Pelodiscus sinensis: one gene and its partners. The protein of the gene in region 1 interacts with the protein of each later gene in a biochemical or structural test. Links are inferred from orthologs where the notes say so. Each region holds a gene or a part of one and is shown in the gene's direction. Other genes may lie near its edges.

Region 1 (3,749 bases):
TTTTGAAGAAGTAAACCAAATCAACACAAAAACAAGCAAGTCAACATAGGGTACCAGCCCCTAGTCTACTGCAACATGACGTATTCAGCAGTGTGAGCCAGCCTTCTTTCTGGCACTATGGATGCTACTGCAACAAAGCTGCTGGCATAAACAGGGAACAAGAGGTGATTTCTTGGCATTAGATAGAAAAATGATGACTCTAATGATAGTTACTAAATAAAAAGTGCGTCAGAAAGCGAAGTGCTCAGCAAATATAAATTAATTAGCATTTTTATGTTGAAAATAAATTTCACTCAAATTTCACTTATTCCATGTATTTGTATTTTACTTCAAAGGTGTTTGCACAATACAATATATATGCTTTTCATTATGGTTTTTGGCTATTGTTTTATATTCAAATAAAAACTTTAAAAAATCCCCTTTCCTTTAGTTCTAAAAAAAAAAATCAAGTTTTTTCTTTTCCTTCTCTGTTCAAACCCTGAACAAAAAATATCCATTTCCCTGAACAAACAGCAGTATAATGCTTCTATCTCACCCCCATATCTCCATTTTAGACAGGAAAATCATCCACAGAAAACTGCAGCACACAAGTGGAGCTGCAATAATTTAAGCAGTCTTTCTGGAATTTATAAAAGTGTGGCCTCAGCAAGAGATACAAGATTAGGGAAAAATCAAACATAGGAGTGATCAAATCTATTTGATGGTGGAACTGTCTCTCAAAGGATACAGAGGAAGGAACCACTCAGGACATTTCAAAGGATAGGATGTGAAAAAAGCACTTTTTAAAAATCTGCTAAACTTCCAAGCAAAATGACAGATTAGAAAACACGACTTGTGTCTTTTTTCAGTTGTATACATTTTACAACACTTGGTAGAGTCACAGGCAGTGTTCCCATATGTACACAGACATGTTTGTGCTCTTCTCAGAAGGGGAAGACATTTTAAAAATAGGAAAATGTGGCTGCAAAACTACAATCACTGGTAGGAAAGGAGGCGGCTCAGGAGCAGGTCTAATATCTGAACCAAACTACTATAAAAAGAGTGGAGTGCAAGTTGAGGTCCCTTTAGCGTGGAAAGAGAACAAGATAAGGGCTCTATAGGGAATAATGCTTAACAGCTGGGACCCCGGCGGGTAACAGATCAGATTGGACCGAGTTTTTAAGAGGCCACTAAAGCCCCTCTCTTGCGCAACCCCATAACTGTGTGGAGTGTGTGTATGTGTGCGGGACAGGGGTCTGAACGTGCTAGCTCCGCAACCTCGCTTCCACACGCAAGGTAGCGTGTTGCAGGGGCCAGCCCTCTCCCCTCCCGCAAGAAGACGTGCTGGGGGCGGCCGAGGCCACTTTTTTTTTTTTTTTTGCAACGGTGCTCCCGAGCAGCGCGGCTCCGAGGCGCCCTGCCTAGCAGCAGGCCGGCCGGGCTCAGGGCATAGCAGGGAGCGCGAGGGCCGCCAGTGGGGCCCCTCCTGTTGCTGTTGTCATGGTTCCTTCTGTGCAGCCGATTCCTACTCCCACTTCTGCGGGGCTCGGCTCAAGAGCGCCGGGTAGCTGGGAGGAAGGGGGAGGGGGCGGCTTGGCGTCTGGCCGCCTGATGGCTGGGCCGGATTAAGTTTCATGGTAGCCTCTGCCTGTTTATCCTGCACCTCCTCGCGGGCCGTTACTTGGGGGGGGGGGGGGGGGGGGGAGTCTGCAGAGCCCGGCCAGCAGGGCTGCAAGTGGTCTCCCCCAGCCCAGCCCTGGCTCGGCGGCGAGGCGCCTGGAGCAGCAAGCGGGTAAGCGGAGCGCGGCGGCGAGCCGGGGGGTGCCCGCAGGGTAGCGCTGGCTGCGCCCGGGGAACGTTCTATGGGTGCCCGGGGCTCTGCGCTCAGGGGGCAGAACGGGGGGGGGGGGGGAGGCATTTCCCCTCGCCCTGAAACCGGGTGTAGCCCGATAGTCCCGCTCCCCTGCGCGGGAGGGGCCGGAGCTGTGGCCCCTGGTTTTGCTGGTTGGAGGAGGAGGAGGGGCCCGGGCGCCACAAGGCCTTGCGCTGCGCAGGGGAAGCAGCCGCTCCTGACGGGCTGAGCCTGTTGCTTCTTTGCCGAGCTTTGGGGCGGGCGGCCTGGCTGGCGGGGGTGGGGGAGAAGTTGGGGAATGATGCTCCAGCGCCTGTGAGGGCTGCAGGGCGCGGCCCTACGCGCGGCGAAGGGCTGCCTCCTGGGCGCTGTTGCACCGACGCCGCCGGTGCTGGGCCAGGCGAGACCTCGCTGGAAACAAAAGCCACGTCTCCGCAGGCTACTGCAAGTCGCGGCTGCCGTGGGCATGTTGTAACCCGAGCCGATCGTAGCCCCCTCCCCACCCAGGTCGCCCCGTGGGCTCTGCACGCACAAGCCCTATCTTTGCAGACGATACCGTGTTAATCAACCCCCCCCCCCCCCTTTCAACATGACAAAGCCAGATCTCCAATGCCAGGTGTCAGCGAACATGTTGCCTGGACTAGACAGACGGGGAAATTGCAGGTTATGAGGAGCCTCCTCCGTTCACACCAGCAATTTCACAGCAGGTGTCTTCGCCCTCCTCTCCTCTTCCCCTCCCCGTGCTCTAGGTCTGCTGGGAAGAAGATCACATGTGAATCTGAAAAAAAAAGTGTAAATGATTCTCACTGAAAGTGCGTGGAGGTGAAGAGGAAGGGGGGGTTGCTTTGATTTATGGTGGGGTGGAAGAGCCTAGTAATGTTCAAATCATTCCTCAAATTCGTGTGATTGTTTGTCTTGGAATGACTTGGTTAAAAAAGAGAACCCTTCTCTCCTCCCCCACTCCATTCCCCAGTTTAGTGCTTTTTGCCAGGATGTTTACATGAGAGACTCCATGAAAACTGAAGCTGAAGACTTTGATGGAGTTAAAGTCTCAGAGGGGTATATGTTAGTCTGTACCTTAAAAGCAAGTGGTCGTGTGGCACCTTACAGACTAACAAAAATATGTACATGGTACCATGAGCTTTCGTGGGCAAAACCCATTTCTTCACAAAATGATCTTGAGACATCAAGAGGCCACAAATGGTTGCATTATCTTATAAATCAATTACATTTAGGGGTGGGCAACTTCTGGATTCCAATTTTGATGGAATTTCAGAAATGTTGATCTTAAAAACGTACTTATTTGAATGAACATATAGAGATATTTTTCCAGAGGATTATGAACAAGGGCCAAATTCTGCCGCAGACACATTTACCCAGTGAGAATTGTATAAGATAACAGAAGATAGAATTTAGCCTTGTGTCCTGATAACTTTATTTTGTTTATTATGTTTACCTAGGTTTATATGCTTTTAAACACTTGAGAAGCGGATACTGATGACATAAGTGTGGAATAAACAGTAACACCTTTTGAAGGAAAGGTAACATGTTTCCACGTTTTTTTTTCATATTTCCAGTTCATGAGATGCAGCCATTACTTTGCTGACTGGTCTTGTGATGCATTTCTCCTTCAGTTTTAAAAATAATACATCATTTAGCAGTAGTATATTTGATCCATATTACCCACAACCTGTGGAAAAGAAATTGTTCGTTTTGCTGGGATTTCTTGTAAAGTACGAGGAACGTGAAGGAGAAGAATAGCAAACCTGTTCCATGAAGTTTTGCTTTGCAGCAAGAACAAATCAGGGTCTATTATTGCTATTTATTTGTATTACATAGGAGCCTTAGTCCTGGATTAGGACCCCAAGGTGCTGGATGCTGTACAAACAGAATCAAAAGATGGTACCTGCCCTGGAGA
Region 2 (3,749 bases), on another chromosome or scaffold:
CTGCTGGAGGATGCATAACTGAGTAAGTACGGACACAGGAAATAGTTCTGTAGAGTCCCAACTCCTGAAGCCATGCCAGGGTCCTTCCTTCCTTTAGGGGCTCAGGATATTAAGAGGCGGGTGATTGACTAATCGTGTGGTTGATACAATTTTATGATTGGTCGATAAGGGAAGGTGCTCTGTCCTGGCCCCCACAGGTCCAGGAGCTAACCCCACTGCGGCTCTGCCGTTTAAATGTAGCAGGAGCTGGGTGCGCAGGCAGGAGGCAGCTGGGACCTGACCTCCCCCCCCCCAGGAACAGGAGCTGCTTCCCAGAGCAGCATCTCCTACCCACTCCCCACTGCTGCCTCTGGTAGAGGAGGTGGCACAGCAGAGACGGTGTCTGTTTGCTGTGGGGCAGTGGGGTGAGGGGAGGAGCAAGTACTCGGCTACTTGCTTACATCCCTATTTCACCATCTGTTTGAAATCCAATCCTTCTTTTAAAGCCGTGTCCCTCAGTGTTTCCAGACGTTGGTGCCCCTTTGAGAGTCACTTGCCTTGCGTACTGCCAGGGTGCACCTGACTTAAACACTAGTCGCTTGCACAATCGGTAGTTACAGGTCCCACCTCTGCACTTGAACTCCCGACCAATTGTGTGTGGGGAGTAGGGGGGGTTGGGGGTGTGTGTGGGGGGCAGAGGGGGTCTGTTTTCTAAAGATTTTCTTCTTTGTGTGAAAAATGCAGATAAGCAAAGGACACTGACCCTGCCAGAGAAGCCATGGGAAAACATTGGATATTTTTTTTCTCTTTTCCTTTCTACGTGGTCTTGGGTGTCACTTATTACAAGTGTAGAGTGGCTGGTGGTGCTACAAGAGAGCCTAGATGGCAAGTATATTAACCTTAGAGTGAGTAAATCTCTGTTCCCAAGGTAAGCTAACAAGGACTAGTACAGAACCAGCAGGAATTTGCCAGAATCAATCAGGGCAATTAAGCACCTGGAGCCAATTAAGAGGGCTTCTAGACCCAGACTGGCTGAAGAGCTGGGGCCAATTAAAAACCAGTTGAGACTGATCAAAAGAGCTGTCTGCAGTTGGCTCAGCTTGTGAGGCCCTGAGGGGACAGAAGGGCTGTGGAGGATCTTGGAGGAAGAAGCAGCACACGGGGGTACCAGGAGAAAAGGCCTGAGACAAGGAAGTTGCTGGGGGAGGTGTGGGAAGTAGCCCAGGGGTTTGTAGCTGTCATGCACTGGTGCTGGAGACATTGACAGACAGCTGCTTTTCCAGGGCCCTGGGCTGGAACCTGGAGTTGATGGTGGGGCTGGGTCCCCCCCACCCTCTGACACAGACTCCCCCGTTTCCACTCGGGCCCTGGAGAGGACTGGCTGGAGAAAGAAAGGGGGCTAGGCAGCCCTGTATCACTTGGAGGTTCACTGAGGCTTTGCTGTTTGGTTTCCTGCTGCTCCTCATGCTGAGAGTCCAGCACGCAGCCAGCGCTAGGAATGGTGCCTGGATTGAGGGCTGCTGGGAGCCTCCGAGGCAAGGAAACCCACCCCACCCCCACGCGCAGAGCCCACCAAGGCGAGGCAGGGCAGGGGCGCGATGGAGTTTTCCCAGTGTGACACTGGTTTTGCTGCTTGTTGGTGTTTTGCTCTCCACCGCTGCAGCACTGCGCTTGCTGATGGCCTCCCAGGACACCGTGACTCCAATTCTGCACTTCTTAGTTCCTTGCTCATTCAGAAATCCCATGGACTTCCCGTTCCCGAAGGACCTGGGTCTGTGGTGACCACACCAACCGTCCCCTTACCCAAATGTGTGCTGTTCTTCCCTGTGTAGGACGCATAGATCAGCCAGCGCTAGAAAGCCACAATGGCAAGGAAATCTCTCCGATGGCAATAAGTACTGTGGGGAGCCAATGTATTGCTGGGTTTTTATGCAGAGCTCTTCCACGCCTCTGCTCAATAGTAAAATACAGAAACACGCCTTTTCCTTCGACTCAGATCCCCATCATTGAGACAACAATTTTGCTAAGGTTCTTCTGTCCAGCTACAGGAGAGTTTATTCTCTGGCTCACTGGTGGTTAGAGGAAAAAAGATGGTTGTGATGGGATGTGGGCCTGCAAGGGTTAACCCTGGTTCCCTGGCTGAGGAGGCCCCGCCCCACAGCCCTGCTGGGCATGCTCCAGCTGGAGGCCGGCTATAAAGGCTGGTGGAACAGTCAGTCTGGGCAGGGAGCCACCTGGGAAGAAGGTGCTGTCAGGGCTCCGGGGAAGAGCTGCAGATGGACCAAGCTGTGGAGGCTGGTTGGCGAGGAACGGCCGGAGAAGCCCCCAGGCTGGAGGACAGTGGCGGCGAAGCTGCAACAGTGAGTCTGGTAGGAAGTAGCCCCGGGCGGGGAGTTAGATACCCAGGAGCTGAGCGTATTGTGCTGGGATTCCCACTATGCTAGTGGTGGGGACAGCTCCACCACTGACAGGACCCTGGGCTGGGACCCGGTGCAGAGGGTGGGCGTGGGTCCTCCTACCCCACCCCCTTGACCTCCAGGGCAGCACTGCACTGTTGTTACTGACTCTGGCTGCTAGGCCCTGCTGCCCAGAAGGCAGGGTGGCCACTAGGCCTCACTGCTCTGAGGGAATGGAGTGATGTTATTGACTCTGGCCACTGGACTCTACAGCCCTGCGGGAAGGGACTGTTTTTGACTGTGACCACTAGGCCCGAGTGCCTCACAGAGAGGCTGTGGGGTTATTGCCCTGGGCTGTGGTAGATAATAGTCACGTGGGGGTGGAGCACCCTTTGAGAGGCCTAATGCCCTATCCCTGAGGGGGCCAGGCATGCTCCCCCCCCCCGACAATGATAAAGAAATGGCTCCTTTCCTTTCTTGTAATGTGTCCTGTGTTTACAAAACCTCATAGACAGCTGAGAGGTCACTGTCGCTGCAACAGATCTATAGGGAAAACGTCAGTGCTGAGAAATGACTTAAAATGTGGACACATTGATGGAAAATTCTTCTGGGATGTCGAAGTCATTTTTTATAGTTGTGTCTGATTTATAGCACTTGTACTTTGGGCTTTCACAGGAATCAGTTTTAAAGCCACATTTGATCTACTTTTCTTACCACATTTCAGAAAGGTCAGTCGAGTCAAAATGAATAGCATTTCAGCTCCAGACTGCGTTCTGGTGTTGCATAGCTAGAAACGCCAAAGTTCATCGGGTTCATATTGATCTCATTTTTGTGCTGATTGCATTTAGTGCCTTAAAATTTACATAAGGATCACTTTTTTTAATTAGCGTTCCAATCCCAATGTGACATTAAGAAGATGATTGTTTTTCTGACACTTGTGTGGCTGCCACGGTACATTCTCTGTATTGTGACCTTTCGCAAAGACAGTGCTGGGAGGAGAGTTCAGTCGAGGTGTGAATCTTTCGAAAGACAGGCTAGTTTTGAATATGTTCTCTTGGGTGCTTCTGATCCCTCATATACAGAGGGCTGCACTTCCGCTAAGCGCCCCTGTGGGCCTTGCCGTCAGTCTTGCAAGAGAGCATACTTTGCACGTCCTAGTCACATGTACAGGTGCGCAGTGTAAGGAGGGAAAACCAGTGGTTGTTGATTGTATTTTCCCCATTGAGAACTCCATGATAATAGTGTCTGATTGGGCACTTTCCATCCGTAAGTGCCCAAGGTGCGGTCAGAGTTTGGGTGGCAAACGGGTAGTGACTAATAATGAGCAGTGACTTTTCATCCCTACTGTACACCCATGCAGAGCACCCGTTCAGT
Region 3 (3,749 bases), on another chromosome or scaffold:
ATAACCTCAATTGTGGTGGTCTCCCTTCTACCTTTCCTTAAGATCATGAACTCTATTATTTCGTGATCACTGTCCCCTATTCTGTCTTCCACTTTCAAGTTCTCAACTAGTTCCTCCCTATTTGTTAAAACCAAATCCAGAACAGCTTCTCCTCTGGTAGCTTTTTCAACCTTCTGAAACAGAAAGTTGTCTCCAATGCAGTCCAGAAACTTATTGGATAGCCTGTGCCTCGCTGTGTTAGTTTCCCAACATATGTCTGGATAGTTGAAGTCCCCCATCACCACCAAATCTTGGGCTTTGGATAGTTTTGTTAATTGTTTAAAAAAGGCCTCATCCACCTCTTCCACCTGGCTAGGTGGCCTGTAGTAGACTCCTAGCATGATATCACCCTCGTTTTTTACCCCTTTTAGCTTAACCCAGAGACTCTCTACACAGCTATCTCCTACGTTCATCTCCACTTCAGTCCAAGTGTGTACATTTTTAATATACAAGGCAACCCCTCCTCCCTTTTTTCCCTGTCTGTCCTTCCTGAGCAAGCCGTACCCTTCCATACCAATATTCCAATCATGCGTCCCATCCCACCAGGTTTCTGTAATACCAATGATATCATAGTTGTATTTATTGGTTAGCAATTCCAGTTCTTCCTGCTTATTACCCATACTTCTCGCATTTGTATATAGGCATCTAAGATACTGATTTGATCTTGCCTCCCTGTTGTGCCCTGACCCTCCTTTCTCCTTGCCATTATAGGCCGTAGTCCCCCCCATTTCCAACCCATCTCCCAGTCCCGCACATTCAGCACTTACCTGTGGGCTTTGCTCACCTGCCCCCGACAAACATCAGGTGATTGAATCCAGAACTATCTATTTCTATATTAAGGCAATGTTTACATATCTCTAAAACTAGGGAGATGATATGAAAAAAACAAAGAGCAGACGACTGTAAGCAGATTCAGTTATGCAGGAATAGGTAGGGCCTAGAAAGCCAGGGAGTTGACAACAGGGGCTGCTTCTGGGAAGGCAATCACCCTCCAGGAAGAGGGAGGAGTGTTTAGAGACTTCTGAGCTGCGTAGGCTGCAGTCACTCCCTGAAGGAGGGTTTGTGGCAGTTACTCCCAGAGAAAGGTGAGGAACCAGGAGGACAGGAAGCAGTGTCGGGAAGGAGCAGTTAGGGCGAGGAGAGGAAAGCCCAGAACTTGTGGATATAGGGTCTCTGGACTGGAAGCCAGAATAGAAGGTGGGCCTGGATTTCCCTGCCTGCAAGGGAAGGAGTGGCACTAGAAGCAGCGAACAACAAGACTGCTTGTGACGGATGAAGGAAAGACTTTGATATACCCCTTTATATAGTCATTTGGAAAGGAAAAAGCTGAGTGATCTAGCTGGAGGGCTGAATCACAAAGAGGATGTCATCATTCCAAGAATGAGAGAGAAGCAGCAAGCCTGAGCAAAAGACTGAGTGGTGGTATGCGACCATAGTGTTGACCTGATGACCTAATTCCCAGCATGACCAGAAGACACCAGTCTAATGGTGAGTGGCACACCATGTGACACTGCTCTTAATCAGTACATTCAAAATTCAGAGCTAGACTTATTAAGCCATTTCCTTTGCTCCCAATTCAGAAGTCACGTTCCCTGTGGCCCTAACTTAGATGAAAAAGTGTTTAACTCCCGTGTTTGTGTCCTATGTGTTTCATCCTGGAGTTAGTTTATCACCCACTGTAAAGTAACCTTAATCACAAGTTTCACAAGAATCTTACATTAATTATTTGAGTACACACTTCCCACAGGTTTGATGAAAAAGGCAATAGGTGTTTGCAGTGGTGCAGTAGGCCAAAAGAAGAGCCTTAGGGAGACTCTACAAACCCACAGACAGTCAGAAAGGGCCTGTGGGGAGCAAATCAGGGTGAGGATGGCAGATAGCCAATCAGAGCCTCTGTGAGGCAAAGAGGTAGACTTTGGGACTGCAGTAGGCCACGGAGGCAGGTTTAGAGCCAGGAAGACTACAGATTCCTCCAGAAAGGGGGAGAACAGCGTTGGGGGCATAGCCAGAGGGTAGTGTTATGAAGTGGATGCTATGGTCTAAGGGACATCCAGAACCAGATGGTGGAGACAGGTGAATGAACAACAGATGAGACCAGCCAAACACAGCACACTCAGGATACCTCTACACAGCAGCATTATTTCAGAATAATGGATGTTATACTGAAATAACAATGTTATAACAATGAAATAACAATACACATGAATTCTGTTATTTCAAAATAAATTTGAACTAACAGACAGCTTATTCCTACTTCTATAAACCTCATTCCATGAAGAATAACACCTATTCCGAAATAGCTATTTCAGAATAGCATTAGTGTGGATGATCCACTGCTGCTATTTCGAAATAGCCCCTCCACATGACCATTCAAAATAATTACTCCCTAGTGTCTCCTGGGGTTCTAAATCGAGGTAGCATGTCCACATTAGGGAAGCCTACTTCGGACTAATTTTGAGGCTTTCCTTTAGTGTAACCGTGCTGTTTCAAAATAAGCTATTTTGGAGTATTTCTTCCAGAATAGCTTATTATGAAATAAGCATGCAGTGTAGATGTACCCTCAAACTGGATTAAGCTAATTCCCATACTTGCCACCAGGAGGCACAGTGGTGGTGAGTCACATACCACTACAGTGTGATACAGGAATAGGAAGGGGCTAAAATATTCCATGTTGGCTTTTGGAAGAAATGTTTTTGGATAGTGGATCAATTTAGGTCATCACAATTTAAATTAAACTGAATTTAAAGGTAACAGAAGGCTTTATTATATTTTAAACCACAAATTGCTCATCCTGTTGAATAATAATAACTATTGAAGTTTTGAGTTCCGTTAAACTAAAACAGCTAAAAATGAAAGCAACAAATGAAGTGTACTGCTCAATTAAATGCCTGTTCATTTTCACTGCACATGCACATTTCACCATCTGTGTTGAGGAAAAATAAACATTGCCGCTTTATGACTGATTCTGAATAGATCACTAACTGTGCATAAACATCAATCTTTATAAGGCCAGATGGTGAGTCTTAACCCGTAGTCTGTGGTTGGAAGTGGGAAGAGAATTGAGGTACAACGCATCAGCAGGAGTCTCAGGAGGAATTCTTGGCCCTAATTCCTTAAGGGACATCTGGGCAGACTAATGCTTGTTCCCTTTTAATTGTATTTTAAGTGCACTTCCCCTCTATAATAGGCTGGGTTTGTTGTCTGGTGTAAGGGCCAAGAAAGGTGGTATTCCTGACCTAATGGGAGACTGGAGTGGCTAGTAATGATCTCTGGGAGTAGTATCTGTGTTCCTGAATTAGACACGGACAGTCCAGTCACTGCATGCATGAAAAGGCTCTGTGCAACCTCTTTGGAGTACTACAGAGTTACAGTTAAACCTATTCCTGAGCAGATGGTCAACTAGGAAGTTAGAGCATCTTGTGAACTTAATAAGCATGTTTAATGATTTCACTGAAAGTACAAATTATGATAGTACATATAGAGGTGTATATGAGTACAACTAAATAAGTATCTGAGTAATGTGACTGTGAGGTGTATATATAGTCAAAGGGGTTCTTCCCTCCATTCTGATTCAGTGAGGTTTTATTTTTGATCAGCAAAGCCGTTATTTGGATTTTACTCCTGTTTACTGGTTTATGTCAATTTTAGGAAAACCTATTCTGATTCTTTCAGGAAAAAGGTTATCAACTTCACTGCTTGATATTTATTAG

Evidence for each region.
Region 2: the proteins of MPDZ (region 1) and 5-hydroxytryptamine receptor 2A form a complex in vitro, tested with the Homo sapiens proteins (3 studies listed by BioGRID and IntAct, with this or other methods). The link is inferred for Pelodiscus sinensis from reciprocal best matches to the Homo sapiens genes MPDZ and HTR2C.
Region 3: the proteins of MPDZ (region 1) and CYSLTR2 interact in a test that uses a peptide from one of them, tested with the Homo sapiens proteins (2 studies listed by IntAct, with this or other methods). The link is inferred for Pelodiscus sinensis from reciprocal best matches to the Homo sapiens genes MPDZ and CYSLTR2.

The regions. Positions count from the first base shown.
Region 1 is NC_134716.1:23,692,350-23,696,098, forward strand, and holds the start of MPDZ (multiple PDZ domain protein), read left to right. Parts: upstream 1-1,448; 5' UTR 1,449-1,771; intron 1,772-3,291; 5' UTR 3,292-3,372; intron 3,373-3,749. UniProt on the Homo sapiens protein: Member of the NMDAR signaling complex that may play a role in control of AMPAR potentiation and synaptic plasticity in excitatory synapses. Promotes clustering of HT2RC at the cell surface.
Region 2 is NW_027465900.1:173,105-176,853, forward strand, and holds the start of 5-hydroxytryptamine receptor 2A, read left to right. Parts: upstream 1-948; 5' UTR 949-2,339; intron 2,340-3,749. UniProt on the Homo sapiens protein: G-protein coupled receptor for 5-hydroxytryptamine (serotonin).
Region 3 is NC_134711.1:289,121,100-289,124,848, forward strand, and holds the start of CYSLTR2 (cysteinyl leukotriene receptor 2), read left to right. Parts: upstream 1-1,163; 5' UTR 1,164-1,527; intron 1,528-3,749. UniProt on the Homo sapiens protein: Receptor for cysteinyl leukotrienes. The response is mediated via a G-protein that activates a phosphatidylinositol-calcium second messenger system.